Linked DNA regions of Mus musculus. The protein of the gene in region 1 purifies or fractionates together with the protein of each later gene. This does not show direct contact. Links are inferred from orthologs where the notes say so. Each region holds a gene or a part of one and is shown in the gene's direction. Other genes may lie near its edges.

Region 1 (6,947 bases):
GTGAGCCGCAGCATGGGTGCTGGGAATCTGACCAGCTTCCTCTGGAAGAGCTGACAGTGCTCTGAACTGTTCCACTGTGGGTTCCATCTCAGGACACACACACTGTTGGGTTTTTGTGGGGGAGGGGGTGTCAAGACAGGGTTTCTCTGTGTACTAGGCCCTGACTGGTCTGGATTCCCTTTACAGGAAGCTGGCCTCTGACTCACAGCGGTCTATCTGCAAGTGCTGCCACGCCCGCCTGAGGACAGGACATGCACTCACGGATCCAGCTATCTCGGACCATCCTTGACTGCTCAGTTATGCGCGCTAAGTCATCCTGCTTTGTGATTGGGCCCGTGTTCTCTTTGGCTATTCCTAAACAAATTCCCTAACTTTCCACATGAGACATGAGGGCCCCTCAACGCCAGGATCACTTCCATCCATCTCCTGTTAAAATCTTGCTTCCAAACCTCTAATAGAGAGTCAAGGTTAAGAAGAAAGCACCTGGGCAGGGCATAGCATAGACCTGGTGGAGGGAAATGATGAACTGTCCATGGCCCTATCTAGGTCTAAGCATGGGGACACGGGGTTTTTGTATGTTTTTGGTTGGTTGGTTTGTTGGGGTGTTTGTTTTCTGAGACAAGGTACCCCTGGCTGCCCTGGATCTCATTCTGTAGACCAGGCTATCCTCAGACTCAAGAGATCCACTGCCTCTTTCTCCCAAGTGCTGGGATTAAAGGCGTGCATCAACACTGCCCAGCTAAGGAACATAGATTTTTGAAACTCCTCTTCCATCAGAAAATTTAATACTAATATACATATATTTACTAAAACAGTCTGAAAATTATTGTCTATCTCTGGGCAGGTTGGGATGGTTTTAATTTTCTTTGTATTAAGCAATATCTCCTACTTTATATATAAGAGACATGTTTCTTATTCGGGAGGCAGAGGCAGGTGGATTTCTAAGTTCGAGGCCAGCCTGGTCTACAGAGTGAGTTCCAGGACAGCCAAAGCTACACAGAGAAACCCTGTCTCAAATAACAAGAATGAAAGAAAGAAAGAGAGAGAGAGAGAGAGAGAGAGAGAGAGAGAGAGAGAGAGAGAGAGAAAGGAAGGAAGGAAGGAAGGAAGGAAGGAAGGAAAGAAAGAAAGAAAGAAAGAAAGAAAGAAAGAAAGAAAGAAAGAAAGAGTCGCTGGGCGGTGGTGGCACACACCTTCTTTAATCCCAGCACTTGGGAGGCAGAGGAAGGTGGGTTTCTGAGTTTGAGGCTAGCCTGGTCTACAGAGTGAGTTCCAGGACAGCCAGGGCTACACAGACAAACCCTGTCTCAAAAAGGAAAAAAAAAAAAAGCAGAGGAGGTGGATTGTAAATGAAATATTCCTTTAATCCCAGTATTCGGGAGGCAGAGGCAGTCAAATCTCTGAGTTTGAGGGGGCAGCCTGGTCTACAGAGTAAGATCCTGGCTCAAAAAGCCAAAAAAGAAAAGGAGAGAACTTGAGGTGATGGCATCCTATCTGTAACCTCAGCCCTCAGGAACCAAGAGCAAGAACACCAGGAAGTTCTACAGGGCAGGGCTCCAGTGACTTCCGTACTTGGGATTGAACCCTGAGCCAGGTGTACGGTAGTTCTCAGCCACTGAGCCCCACCCCAGCCCATAAATGTCTTTAGTAAAAAGTAAGGCAAAAACATCACGATGTAACTCTTCAGCTACCGAGGTATAAAACAAGCAAGGACGTCTAAGAAGTAGCTCGTGATTCATGAAACATCTAGTTCACTTTCCTACCCTTCTATCCCATGGATGTGATCCCATCCCAAGGGGTAGGAGAAGATTTGGAACTGTACTGGTGTGTGTCGGGGTACTATCCACCAGGCCTGTCAGCACAAGTGCGGTAGAGCTGGAGATGGCAGAGTAATCGATATGTAAATTCACTAGTACTGGGCAAATAGGGGAAATAGCCGCCTTGGAGTTCGCGGAGTTGGAGAAGTGAGGTTAATAGAACAGACAAGATGGAGGGAACTGGTTTCTCACTGTCCCCTTAGGAATCCTTCCCTCAGCAGATAAGAGCACTGACTGCTCTTCAGAGGTCCTGAATTCTCAGCATCCACATGATGGCTCACGACCATTTGTAATGGGAACCGATGCCCTCTTCTGGTGCATCTGAATCTCGTGTGTGTGTGTGTGTGTGTGTGTGTGTGTGTGTGTGTGTGTGTGTGTGTGTCTTTTAAAAAAAAAAATTCGTTTCCAAACCGAGTGGTGGTGGTGCACCCCTTTAATCCCAGCACTCAGGAAGCAGAGACAGGCAGATCTCTGTGAGTTCGAGGCCAGCCTGGCACTACAGAGTGCGTTCCAGGACAGCCAGGGGTACACAGAGAAACCCCGTCTCGGAAAACCAAAATGAAAAAAGAATCCTTCTCAGGCCTCCTTCCACCAGGAGGCTTCTACGCTGGGTTCCAGAACAAATGACTCTACCCAGATGTCCGGTCTCATTAACAAATAACAGTCCCCAGGTAGCCCCACTTCTGGCTAGGTGGAAGGGCTTGGCTCCCAACTCAAAGAAAGTTTGAGATTCCCAGACCATCAGAACACGCCCCCTGCTCGGGTGCGCAGTAAGCGACCTGGCCTAGGAAGGTTCCCAGTCTGCCCACTACCCCACCTTCAAACTGGGGGTTCGCGCACGACTGGGCTCAGACAGGAAGAGGGTTCTCAGAACCGTTCCCGGCCAGCCCTGCAGCCATATCCCCTCCTCCGCAGGGCCCTGACACCCACCAGAAACCCTTAGTTGGGACAAAAAACCAGAGAAGGTGGAGGTCCGAAGTCCCTCGTACCTCCCACCAAAACAGTCCGACCGGCCGCTGCCACTAACTGGCCAGCAATCGCGTGTCACCACCGCGCGGTGCTCGCCCTCGGGAAGCCAGATCTCTCGCTTTGCTGGGGCTGCACCGAGGGAGCCCACCCACCCTCCGCACTAACCTGGCCGCCGCACACTCGCCTGGCTCTGCTGCGCGCGGCTTCCGGGTGTGCGCGGAGACGCAGGGGCGGTGCCCTAGCAGAGTCGCCGGGTCCGCCCGCGCGTCCCGCCTTCTCCGCCCAGGGCCTCTCCTTCCTGCCCTAGCTGTCCTCCGTGGCCAGTCCCCTGTCTCCGGGTAAAGCCCACCTAGTCCGCTGAGCAGGTAAGATAACGGACACCCAAGTTTAGATGGCAGGACGAACTGCCCACTGGACATAGCAGTTTGGGGGTTTTGAAGCCGAAAGGGCTTCAGAGTGAGAGCCGCCAAATTTAAGTTAGTTCCTGGGGTTCAATCAGAGGGCATCTCCTGGAGATGAGAATTTTTTCTGGCGCCCCCTAGGAAATCTGGTTTGATGATCTAATCTCTGCTAGTCTTTAACACAGAAAATGGGGTGCTGTGGTTCCAGGACAAGCCTAGCTTGGAGTATCCGGGAACTCTAGTGTATACTTGAGGTAAATTCCACGAGAGACCATACACCTGGAAGACATGGGGAAATGAAACGGCAAGTGTGAACCTTTACAAAAACCTTACAGCACTTTGAAGCAAAACTGGCAGCTTCAGAGAAAACGCAGATTCCGATCCCACCCCTCTCGTAAAAGCCAAGCTCTGGGGTGTGTCTGCAGGGTTCCACCCGAGTCTTTATTAGCTAGCAGGAACCAAGGCTCCGCGAGGGTCAGGGTCCTAACTTGAACAACAGCTCCTCAAGGGTGCCAGAGCGGTCCGGCCCCAGACAGAGCCACAAGCTTTTTACCACAGGTCTGTCACAGAAAGCATGCAGGAAGTCAGTCCGTTACTAGGGGGTGGAGGCAGTGTAAAGGTGACTCCCCTTCTGGGACGCCCATCACTTCCTGATTGGCCTGTGATTTCAGACAAAAAGAAACAAACAAAAAATATTCTCTAAGACTGGTGCCTGATTAGCCCCAACAGTCAGTTTCTAGTGGACAGGATTCCTCAACTTGAAACCTATTTCTCATTTGTTCAACACACGAGAAAGTAGTTTGAAGAGCCAGTGAGGGCCAGGCTTGGTGACACACACCTTTAGTCATAGCTTTCCCAGGCAGAGGCAGGAGGATCTCTGTGAGTTCAAGGCCAGCCTGGTCTACATAGGGAGTTCCAGGCCAGCCAAGGCTAGACAGTGAGACCCTATTTTTTAAAAAAGAAAGAAAAACCAAACCACTGAGGCAGGAGTATTCTCAAGTTCAATACCAGCCAGGGCCACACAGCAGAGATGAGAAAAGAGAAAAAAAAGAGAGGGTAGATAGGAAAGTGTGTGTGTGTGTGTGTGTGCGTGTGTGTATGTATGTGTGTGTGTGTAGGCACAACCACTGGAACTATACCTTTAAGCCTTTAGGGAGATTTACTATTCTGAGCAGAGACTTCTGTTTAAAAAAAAATTTATGTATTTAATGTATGTGAATATACTGTAGCTGTCTTCAGACACACCAGAAGAGGGCATCAGATCCCATTACAGATGGTTGTGAGCCACCATGTGGTTGCTGGGAATTGAACTCAGGACCTCTGAAAGAGCAGTCAGTGCTCTTAACCGCTGAGCCATCTCTCCAGCCCTGCATTTTCTTTTTTAAATTAGCTTAATTTATTTAATGTGTATGGTTTTACACATGCGTCTGTGTAACATGAGCGTGCAGTGCCACAGAGGCTACAAAGTTTTTAGATCTCCTAGACCTATAGCTATAGACAGTTTTTACTGGCTATGGAGGTGCTGGGAACCAAAGTCCTACCTTCTTTGAGGGCAACAAGCGCTCTTAACAGCTGAGCTCTCTCTCCAGTGCCTTGTCTTAAAAACAATTTTTAGATTTACACTTTTTTTTATGTGTATGAGTGTTTGCGTACACTGTACACTATGTGTGTCTCTGGTGCCCACAGAGGCTAGAAGAGGGCATCAAGTCTCCTGAACCTGAAATTAAGGGCAGTTGTGAGCCACATGTGGGGTGCTGGGAACCAAACCTGGGTCCTCTGCAAGTACAGCCAAGGTTTTGTTGTTTGATTGTTTGTTTGTAGCTGCTGAGCCATCCCTCCAGTCCCATTCTTTTGTTGTATGTTTTCTAAACTTTTTGTTTGTTTGTTTGTTTATTCAGGTATGTGTGTGGAAGTGCTCCAATCAGGGTACACATGCATTCTTGGAGATCAGAGGACAACTTTCAGAAGTCAGTTCTTCTGAAAGAGTTCTGACCCCGGGACAGAACTCAGGTCGTCCGTGTTTGGGGCAAATGCCTTTATCTGCTAAGCCATCTCACAGCCTGGGATCTCTGCCTTCTCTACAAACCACATAGCGCTTCCTGGGCTCCCAGTATTACTGTGCACAAGCATCCATCCGCCCCTCTGACCCAGGGGACTCCCTCTTTCACTTTAGTCACAGCAGCTGGGAGCAGCAGGCCCCTCCCCTCCAGCCGCACCATGGGGGAGCTGGTCGACAATCTGCCAGAGGAAGTGTTGGCGCTCATCTTCCGTGACCTGCCTCTCAGGGACCTTGCTGTAGCCACCAGAGTCTGCAGGGCCTGGGCGGCGGCTGCCGCCAACAGCACCGTGTGGTCTGATAAAAGCATCAGGTGAGTTGCTTCCTGTGGCCCACTCATCTTCATCTGTGAAGACAGGCTCATTGGCTGCCTGTTATATACCAATTGGCATTGTCTTTTTATTATTTTTTTTTTCCGAAACAGAGGATTGAACCCAGTGTCTGACATTTGCTAGGCAAGGAGTCTACCACTCACTCTGTCCCAAGTCCCCAACTAGTATCCTAAGTGCCTTACATAAGTTAACTCATTTAATGCTCACAGGAAGATGAGGGGTAGTGGGTCTGGAGTAGTGCCTCCTTTGCACAGACAGGAAATGGAGGCTTATAGACTTAATCACTTGGGTCTGGAGGCCCTGCTCCATCTCCACCGACTACTGAGCATGCCAAGTTCCTTAAATACCCCCCCACACACACACACACACACACTCCTGGAGTGGCGGGGTGGGGGTGGGGGGGCTGCTGGGAGAGGGTTCAACCTCAGGCAGAAACCTCTGAAGTCTTCTAAAGAAATAGGATGGAAATTCCTGTCATAGGCAAGAGGCAAAGTGAAAGGCACATAGAAATGACTCTTCAGTTAAGAGCACTAGCGGCTCTTCTAGAAGACCTGAGTTCGATTCCTGCCTCGCACACAGCAGCTCGAAGCTATGGCTGTAATTTCAGCTCTAGGGATTCCAACACCCCCTTCTGGCCTCCTCAGACACCAGGCACGCCTGTGGTGCACGGACATACATGCAGGTAAAGCAAGAATACACACACACACACACACACACACACACACACACACACACACACAAATCAAAACATTAATTTAAAAAAAAAGTTTCTTTCCTAGTTCATGGTGACACCGCTAATTTCTTTCTATGTCGCTCTAACATAAGTTGTGACTGTGAGCTGGAAGACTTGTTGCCACCATATCTGTCCTCCTGCCTGGACCACATTCACAACCTAAGGCTGGAATATGAGCCATCAAAGAAGCCCAGCCGCGGAACGGCCACCGAGCTGCTGACCGCTCTGGCCAGCCGAGCCCCAAGGCTCCGAGGCCTGCGCTTGGAGTGCCGCGGAGAGAAACCGCTTTTTGATGCGGGCCAGGACATCCTGGGAGCTGTGCACGCAGTCTGCGGAGCTGCTCACCAACTTCGCCACCTCGACCTGCGCCACTTGCCCTACACGCTGGACGACACTCTGGTGCTTAAGGCTGCTGCTGGCTGTCCCGAGCTCCGCAGTCTTTTCCTGGACAACCATGCACTGGTGAACAGCGTGCAGCCCACTTCTGTGCTCAAACTACTGGAGGCCTGTCCTCACTTGCGCGCCCTTGGACTGCACCTTGCTAGTATGTCGCGCGCCGCGCTGGAATTGCTAGCCGCTCCGCATCGCTCCCCTTTTGCACTTCTGGCACTGAGGTGCGCGTGCCCCGAAGATGCTCGT
Region 2 (6,510 bases), on another chromosome or scaffold:
TAGTGGTTTTCTTAGCTCAGACTGCCAAAACAAAATACCATGGGCCAGGAAACTTAGGCAAAGAAATGAACTCTCCATTCTGGGGACTCAGAAGTCTTAAAAATCTAGATCTTGTTTTTGAAGCAGGCTCTCCTGGCTCTCAGTCAACCACTGTTTGGCCCATTACTCACAGGGTAACATCCTCTTAAAGAGGCACCCTACACTCATGAACGCACAAGGACTCATCTTCAGATACCTCCACACCAGAGGTTTAAACTTCAGCAGGCACATTCTAAAAAAAGACAGTTTAGTGGTAGAATAAGGGACTAGCAGATTATTTGGGCTATTGGAAGGGTTTGGCTTGAGGGTCATTGACAGCCCAGGCTAGCCTCTTCCTGCTGAGTACGGTGCTTTCAGATGTGCAACATTCCACCTGTTTCTAAATTATTTCCTATCGTAATCTCTTTAAATTGCAGCTTTAAATGCTGCAATATGTTTACTGCATATTGAAGACCCAATTGTCCAACTTTTAATGGTCTTTTAGAACATAAAACTTTAATCTGTATATATTTATGCCATAAGATATGACTAAATCTTAGTAATAGCTTCAAAGAACTTAAGAAAAAATATATTGTATTGTGATTTCTCTAAAAATCCCTTATATGCATTGCATACATTCATGTTTCTATACAAATTAATGAGACAGTTGCCTGGGTTTATTTCAGCAAGCTTGTGGTTTTGAGTACACTTCCAAACTTCAGCGAATGTTTCAAGACATTGGTGTAAGCAAAGATCTGAATGAACAGTTCAAAAAACACCTGACGAATTCAGAACCGCTGGACTGTGAGTACTGAGTGCTCATAGCAGGGCTCTTTGGGCTCTTGGTAGCAGATGAGAGAAGTGACATAATACGGAGTGAGGGTGGTAAATGGGGTCAGAGTTTCCAAGACTTAGAAGCAGGCGTTTCCTTCCAAGTGCTCTCTCCTCCTCCTGACACCCAGATGGGATGGTGGCAGCTTTGCTGAGTGAGACCAGTCAGGTCTGCCTCGCTCTGTGCTGATCCATGGGCTTGTTGTGCCTTTGAACCTGAGTTTGAATACATTTCTTTCTTCTCTCTCTTACTTGTTTTTGAAGAAAGTTGGAGAATTTTATTCTTCCCAAATCAAAATTGCTGTCATCATTAAGCTTGTATTGCTAATGGACATCTACGTTATCTGTGAAAATGAAAGTGTCCTAATTAATAGGTTCCAGAAGTCTCTACTGTCGGTCTTGACAGTAGTACATGGTACACAAGTTGTGGTGGAGGTAGTGCTTTGCTCTTGTGCTTTCCATTTTCTTGTATTTGGGTCTGTTAAATCAATCATTCCTGGTCACCATCCATTGCTTGTGCATGCTGAACTTCATATCCAGAAGGGGAAAAAATAAAATTGATCAAGGCAGATCAGCTTAGAAACTCTATATTGACAGTAAAGTGGAAAACCATTGCCCTGGAGGACAACAGTTGCTAGGTTCTTCAACCTTTGGTTTGAAGTTTTGATCTAGGACATCTCACTGTGTATGTGTAGCCTACTAGACTTGTAATGAATTTTTAAATCTTTTGACTATTTCTTGTGTGTGTGTGTGTGTGTGTGTGTGTGTGTGTGTAACAATAGAATTTTAAAATTTGTAGAGTAATTAAATGTGTTCCTTCCCACAGTGGACTTCAGTATTCAGGTCCTGAGTTCTGGATCGTGGCCCTTTCAGCAGTCTTGCACGTTTGCCTTGCCGTCAGAGGTAAGGATAGTTTTGGTTTTGTTTCTTGGTCTCTTTCAGCTGGCAAGAGGGAAAAGGGCTGCCTGACCTTAGTGTGCTGACCGAAGTGCTGTGTAAGCAGTCAGTGCACTGTTTGTGGGGAATGTGAAATGGGCCTGTGTTAAATAGCGAAAGGCTCTCTGTTGCAGCAAACAGTGTTGACTTATTCCCGACAAGCAGAGTCTCACTGGTTACATGGTAAACTCTTGATGTACCTACTGGGCATGAGGTAGAAACCTGCTTTGGTACTCACTCTGCAGTCTTAAAGTGTTCACGAGACGGTCCCCGGCATTTGTAGTTCACTTCTCTGTAAGCACTGATTTTGTTCTCAGAACTTGGGGCAGGGACTTTTATTTAGAAATGCTGACTGTAGAATGGAAAGCCATGGATGCCGCATAGTGCTGTTCTTTCATCTAGTTGGAGCGCAGTTATCAGCGATTTACAGCTTTCTACGCCAGCCGTCACAGTGGCAGAAAATTGACATGGTTGTATCAACTGTCCAAAGGGGAACTAGTCACTAACTGCTTCAAAAACAGATACACTTTGCAGGTAAAATCTTTTTATTTGGGTAAAATATTTGAGTACTAATTGATGATAAGACAACTTATAGAAACCCAATTAGATAGCTCATGCAGTGGGATGCAGTTCATTCTCTGACAAAGCCATGTAGGGAGTAAAGCATGCTTGTCATGGGCAGGTGAGCTGAACTCATTTTCTCTGACTATAGATGCAAGTCACTTCCTTACTCTGAGCCTCAGGTTTCTCCTCCACTGAGTTAGCAGTGTTTGCTTACACCATAGAAGTGATCTTTGATAGGTTTGGTAGGTTTGCATGACATGCTGGGGTGACAAATTTAAAAGATGACATTTCACTCTCTAGTTCCAGTCAGAGCTCTCTGCAGCCTCACAGTGATAAGACTCCCTAGCACGTCTAGCAGTGTGCAGTGCCTAGTAATAACAGCTATGGGCTGATTGCATTTCTACAAAAGCTGGGGTCCAGTTAACTGTGGTTCAAAGTCTAGGTTCCTTCTACTCTCACTTCTGTACTCAGTGTGTTTCACAAGTAAAACTTACTTCATTCCTTGAAAAGGTCTCAGTAGTGAGCTGGTAATGGTAATTAAACTGTAGAGTATGTGACGAAAACTACTCACTAGTTTAACCTTTGTACTTCCACATTGATAAGTTAATTAAGTAACCATTATACCTGGTGTGGAGGTCTCTGGCAACTTAAACATACACATAATGTATAAATGGTATGCATCCCCAAAATAATTTTTGTTCTACTATGCATAAAAATTAAACTTATAATTAATGTCTCTATACCTGGTGTATGTTTATATTATAGGTATGCTCATATATTTATGCTTATATAGGGTACATTTCAGGAGAAAAATGAGTCTTTTCAGTGTTTGAAAGGTATCTTTAAGAAAAATGTCCATTCCCCTGGTTGTGACATTTTGTATTCCCTCTCCTTTTTTGCCTCTGAAGAATGCTTTTCATGAAAGCAGGTTGTACCTTTCCCATGTTTTCACATTTCCTCTTTCTTTCCTCTGGACCACGAAGGCGTCCACATTTCAGATGGCAATCCTGCTTCAGTATAACACAGAAGACGCCTATACTGTGCAGCAGTTGACTGACAGCACTCAGATTAAAATGGTATTTCCACTGTTTGGTACTCACGCTATACTCTCAAGCTGCCTCTTCTTTGTTCATTGGGATGTTGTGGAAAGGGGGAGAGGACATGGGTTTCTTTGGCTTACTAGATGTTAGCAGCATGGAGAAAAAAGTAAAAGCAGTAAACTCTGACCAAGGCACCAGAAGACCAGGCCAGATAGATCCACAGAGAGCATTTCACTGGGGTGTCTGACACCTTGGATGCCAACAGGACCACTGAGTTCTCATGGTTGAGTCAGAGAAGTTTATATAATGGGCAAGGTTCACTTGAGCCAAAAGTTAACCTGACTAGTCTCAAACTTGTGTGAGGAGCATCCAGCACATTCCTGGTACTGGTGGTACTAAGGTCTAGGGTGTAAAGCTCCATGTGCCACTATCACGACTTTATAACTTTATAGTATTTAAGCAAATTGTTTTGGAGAAAACATGGGTTCTCAGGCAGGCATGGTGGCCAGCACCTGTGATGGTGGTGGCCAGTTCCAGCTGTGTCCTTATAAACCTTTATGCCAGTTTCATAAGGGTGTTAAGAAATGCTCTCTTTTGTCAGCATTATAAGGACAGTGTGAGATGCTCTATTTTTTTTAAGGGTTTCTCTGTGTAGCCCTGGCTATCCAGGAACTCTCTTTGTAATCCATGCTGGCTATGAACTCAGAGAGATCTGCCTGACTCTACCTCCCATGTGCTAGGCTTAATGGTGTGTGCTACCACCACTGTCCCTTGAAATGCTGTTTTAAACCCAGTCAGTCACTGTCTGTCTCTGTCTCTATCTCTGTGTGTGTGTGTGTGTGTGTGTGTGTGTGTGTGTGTGTGTGTGTGTGTGTAGATATATGTACTTGTTTGTATTCACGTGTTGGAGACTAGAAGTAGATGTCACTGTGGTGCACATGTCATTCTTTCTTTGAAGCAGCGTCTGTCAGTGAATCTGGAGCTTATCCATTCAGCTAGGCTGCACAGCAGTAAGACTTGGGGATTCACTCATTTATTCCCCATAGCACTCCAGACAAGGCTGAGCTTTCACGTGAGTGCTGGGAAGCAGATAAAAGATTTTTTAACTTTCCTCATTCACTTTATTTTTTGTTTGGTTGGGATTTTCTGTTGCTGTTGTTGAAATAGTCACCTGTACTCTAGGATGACCTCAGATTCACTGAGTAGGTAGAGAATGCCTTAAACTAACTTACTGTCCTGTCTTTGTACATACATCTGTGTATCTGTGATAGATTACTGGCATGCTCCACACCCGTTTTTATGCAGTGCAGGAGATTGAATCCAGGGCCTTGGGCATGCTAGCCAAGTACTCCACCAGTTAAGAAGTGGTCCCTGCCCCCATTTAATTTTTTAGTTGACATGTGTACTTACTGATGGGTACACTGCTGTACATGCATTTTTTTTTTTTAAATTTCAATGAAACCTACTTTTTTTTTTTTTTTTTTGCTGGCTGGTTGGAAGGGTTGACAGGTCTGCCTCTCTAGTCTCTGCTTGGCCTTCTCCTCGATGCCACACCAATCTTTCTACTTCTTTGTATTACTAGAATTACCTTATGGGTCTTTAGCTGCCCTCCTCCAGACCCCAGTGCATAGCTGTCACTTCTCTGACAGCATGGGAGCCTTGGTTAAGAGTGCAGGTGAGAAAGTTAAGTCCCCATGCCATGAGGCTTGATGGTTCTGGAAATCACCAGAGCAGCTAATAACTACAGAGGTCATATGATGCACTGAATTGCCAACTAAAGCCAAGTTGGCAGCAAGTCAGCTGCCTCCAAGTCTCAGCATGTTCATGAATGCAGTGCAACTTTGGTTCTGCTGAAGCTCCTTACTGCTTCGTTCGCATGTTCAGGGGTGTAGTTTACTGGTAGAACACTTGCCTGGCACACAAAGCCTTGGGTTTGATCCACAGCACCACATAAATGTCTTATGAACCTTCAGACATCGAAGAAGTGAATCATTTCCTGTAGGTTTCATTGAAGAAGCAGGCCATATATTGTGTCCAGTGTTTGTGGGAAACTGCATTATTATTGCCTTTGAATAGTGGGTGCTTCAGGCCATAAAGAACAAGCCATGTCACTTTCTCTGACTAGTTCTGCTTTGAGGTGATGACCATTTCTGTGAGGCTGGGCCTCTGGGACAGGCACTGTAAAGAAGTATTCTTCCTCCTTGCTTACCATCTTTCTCTGATTGCAGGACATTTTGGCACAAGTCCTACAGATTTTACTGAAGTCGAAATTGCTGGTATGTTTGTATACTTTGTGTTGAGCTAGAAGACACCCTTTCCCTAGGATGTGCCTAGTAACAGTTATTTTCTTCTAGGTCTTAGAAGATGAAAATGCCAATGTTGATGAGGTGGAATTGAAGCCAGACACCTTAATAAAGTTATATCTTGGTTATAAAAAGTAAGAAAAATCTAACATGTAGCTGCTGGTCTTATCCCCTGGCACTGGCCTACTTCAGGATCGGCACGAGCCAGGGGAACTGGACTCTGCTTTTAATGCTGAGTTTGATTTTCTTTATCTTGAAAATAAGTCTTGAGTGGCTCATATGGCATGTTTAGACCTTTATATCAAGTTATTTTGGTGTTATTACAATTCACTAAATTGAGGGGTCAAGTGTCACTTCAGTCATCCCTCTGTGGTAAAATTACATAGCATTGGTGGAGGGGCAGTTCGCAGGTAGCAGTAGAAATGATGAGAAATGATATAGAAGAGATGGGTGTGAACCACCTGCCCAGTCCAGGGATGCAAAACGTGTAGTTGAAAGACAGGAAGCAGACTTTTCAATGACCTGTTTCCTCTGTTATCTTGACAGTAAGAAATTGAGGGTTAATATCAATGTACCAATGAAAACTGAACAGAAGCAGGAACAAGAAACTACACACAAAAATATAGAGGAAGACCGCAAACTACTGATTCAGGTGACTGAACCATGTCTGCACTGTACACTTAGGGAAACGTGCTGGCCTTGTATGTGCTCAAACGCTGCCAGAATGACAGTTCGGTGATGGCCAAAGATGACAATGCCTGAAGCCAGCACTTGGTGTCTGAGGGATGAAGTATTTTATGTTCCAAACAAAAGTAGTC

Evidence for each region.
Region 2: the proteins of Fbxl8 (region 1) and Cul1 purify together in Homo sapiens (affinity purification with mass spectrometry; 5 studies listed by BioGRID and IntAct, with this or other methods). This does not show direct contact. The link is inferred for Mus musculus from reciprocal best matches to the Homo sapiens genes FBXL8 and CUL1.

The regions. Positions count from the first base shown.
Region 1 is NC_000074.6:105,261,610-105,268,556, forward strand, and holds the start of Fbxl8 (F-box/LRR-repeat protein 8), read left to right. Parts: upstream 1-3,038; 5' UTR 3,039-3,151; intron 3,152-5,085; 5' UTR 5,086-5,404; coding exon 5,405-5,556; intron 5,557-6,021; exon of another isoform or gene 6,022-6,036; coding exon of another isoform or gene 6,037-6,257; intron 6,258-6,400; coding exon 6,401-6,947. UniProt on the Homo sapiens protein: Substrate-recognition component of the SCF (SKP1-CUL1-F-box protein)-type E3 ubiquitin ligase complex.
Region 2 is NC_000072.6:47,517,461-47,523,970, forward strand, and holds part of Cul1 (cullin-1), read left to right. Parts: intron 1-704; coding exon 705-822; intron 823-1,675; coding exon 1,676-1,752; intron 1,753-2,187; coding exon 2,188-2,319; intron 2,320-3,332; coding exon 3,333-3,425; intron 3,426-5,617; coding exon 5,618-5,665; intron 5,666-5,743; coding exon 5,744-5,826; intron 5,827-6,238; coding exon 6,239-6,344; intron 6,345-6,510. UniProt on the Homo sapiens protein: Core component of multiple cullin-RING-based SCF (SKP1-CUL1-F-box protein) E3 ubiquitin-protein ligase complexes, which mediate the ubiquitination of proteins involved in cell cycle progression, signal transduction and transcription.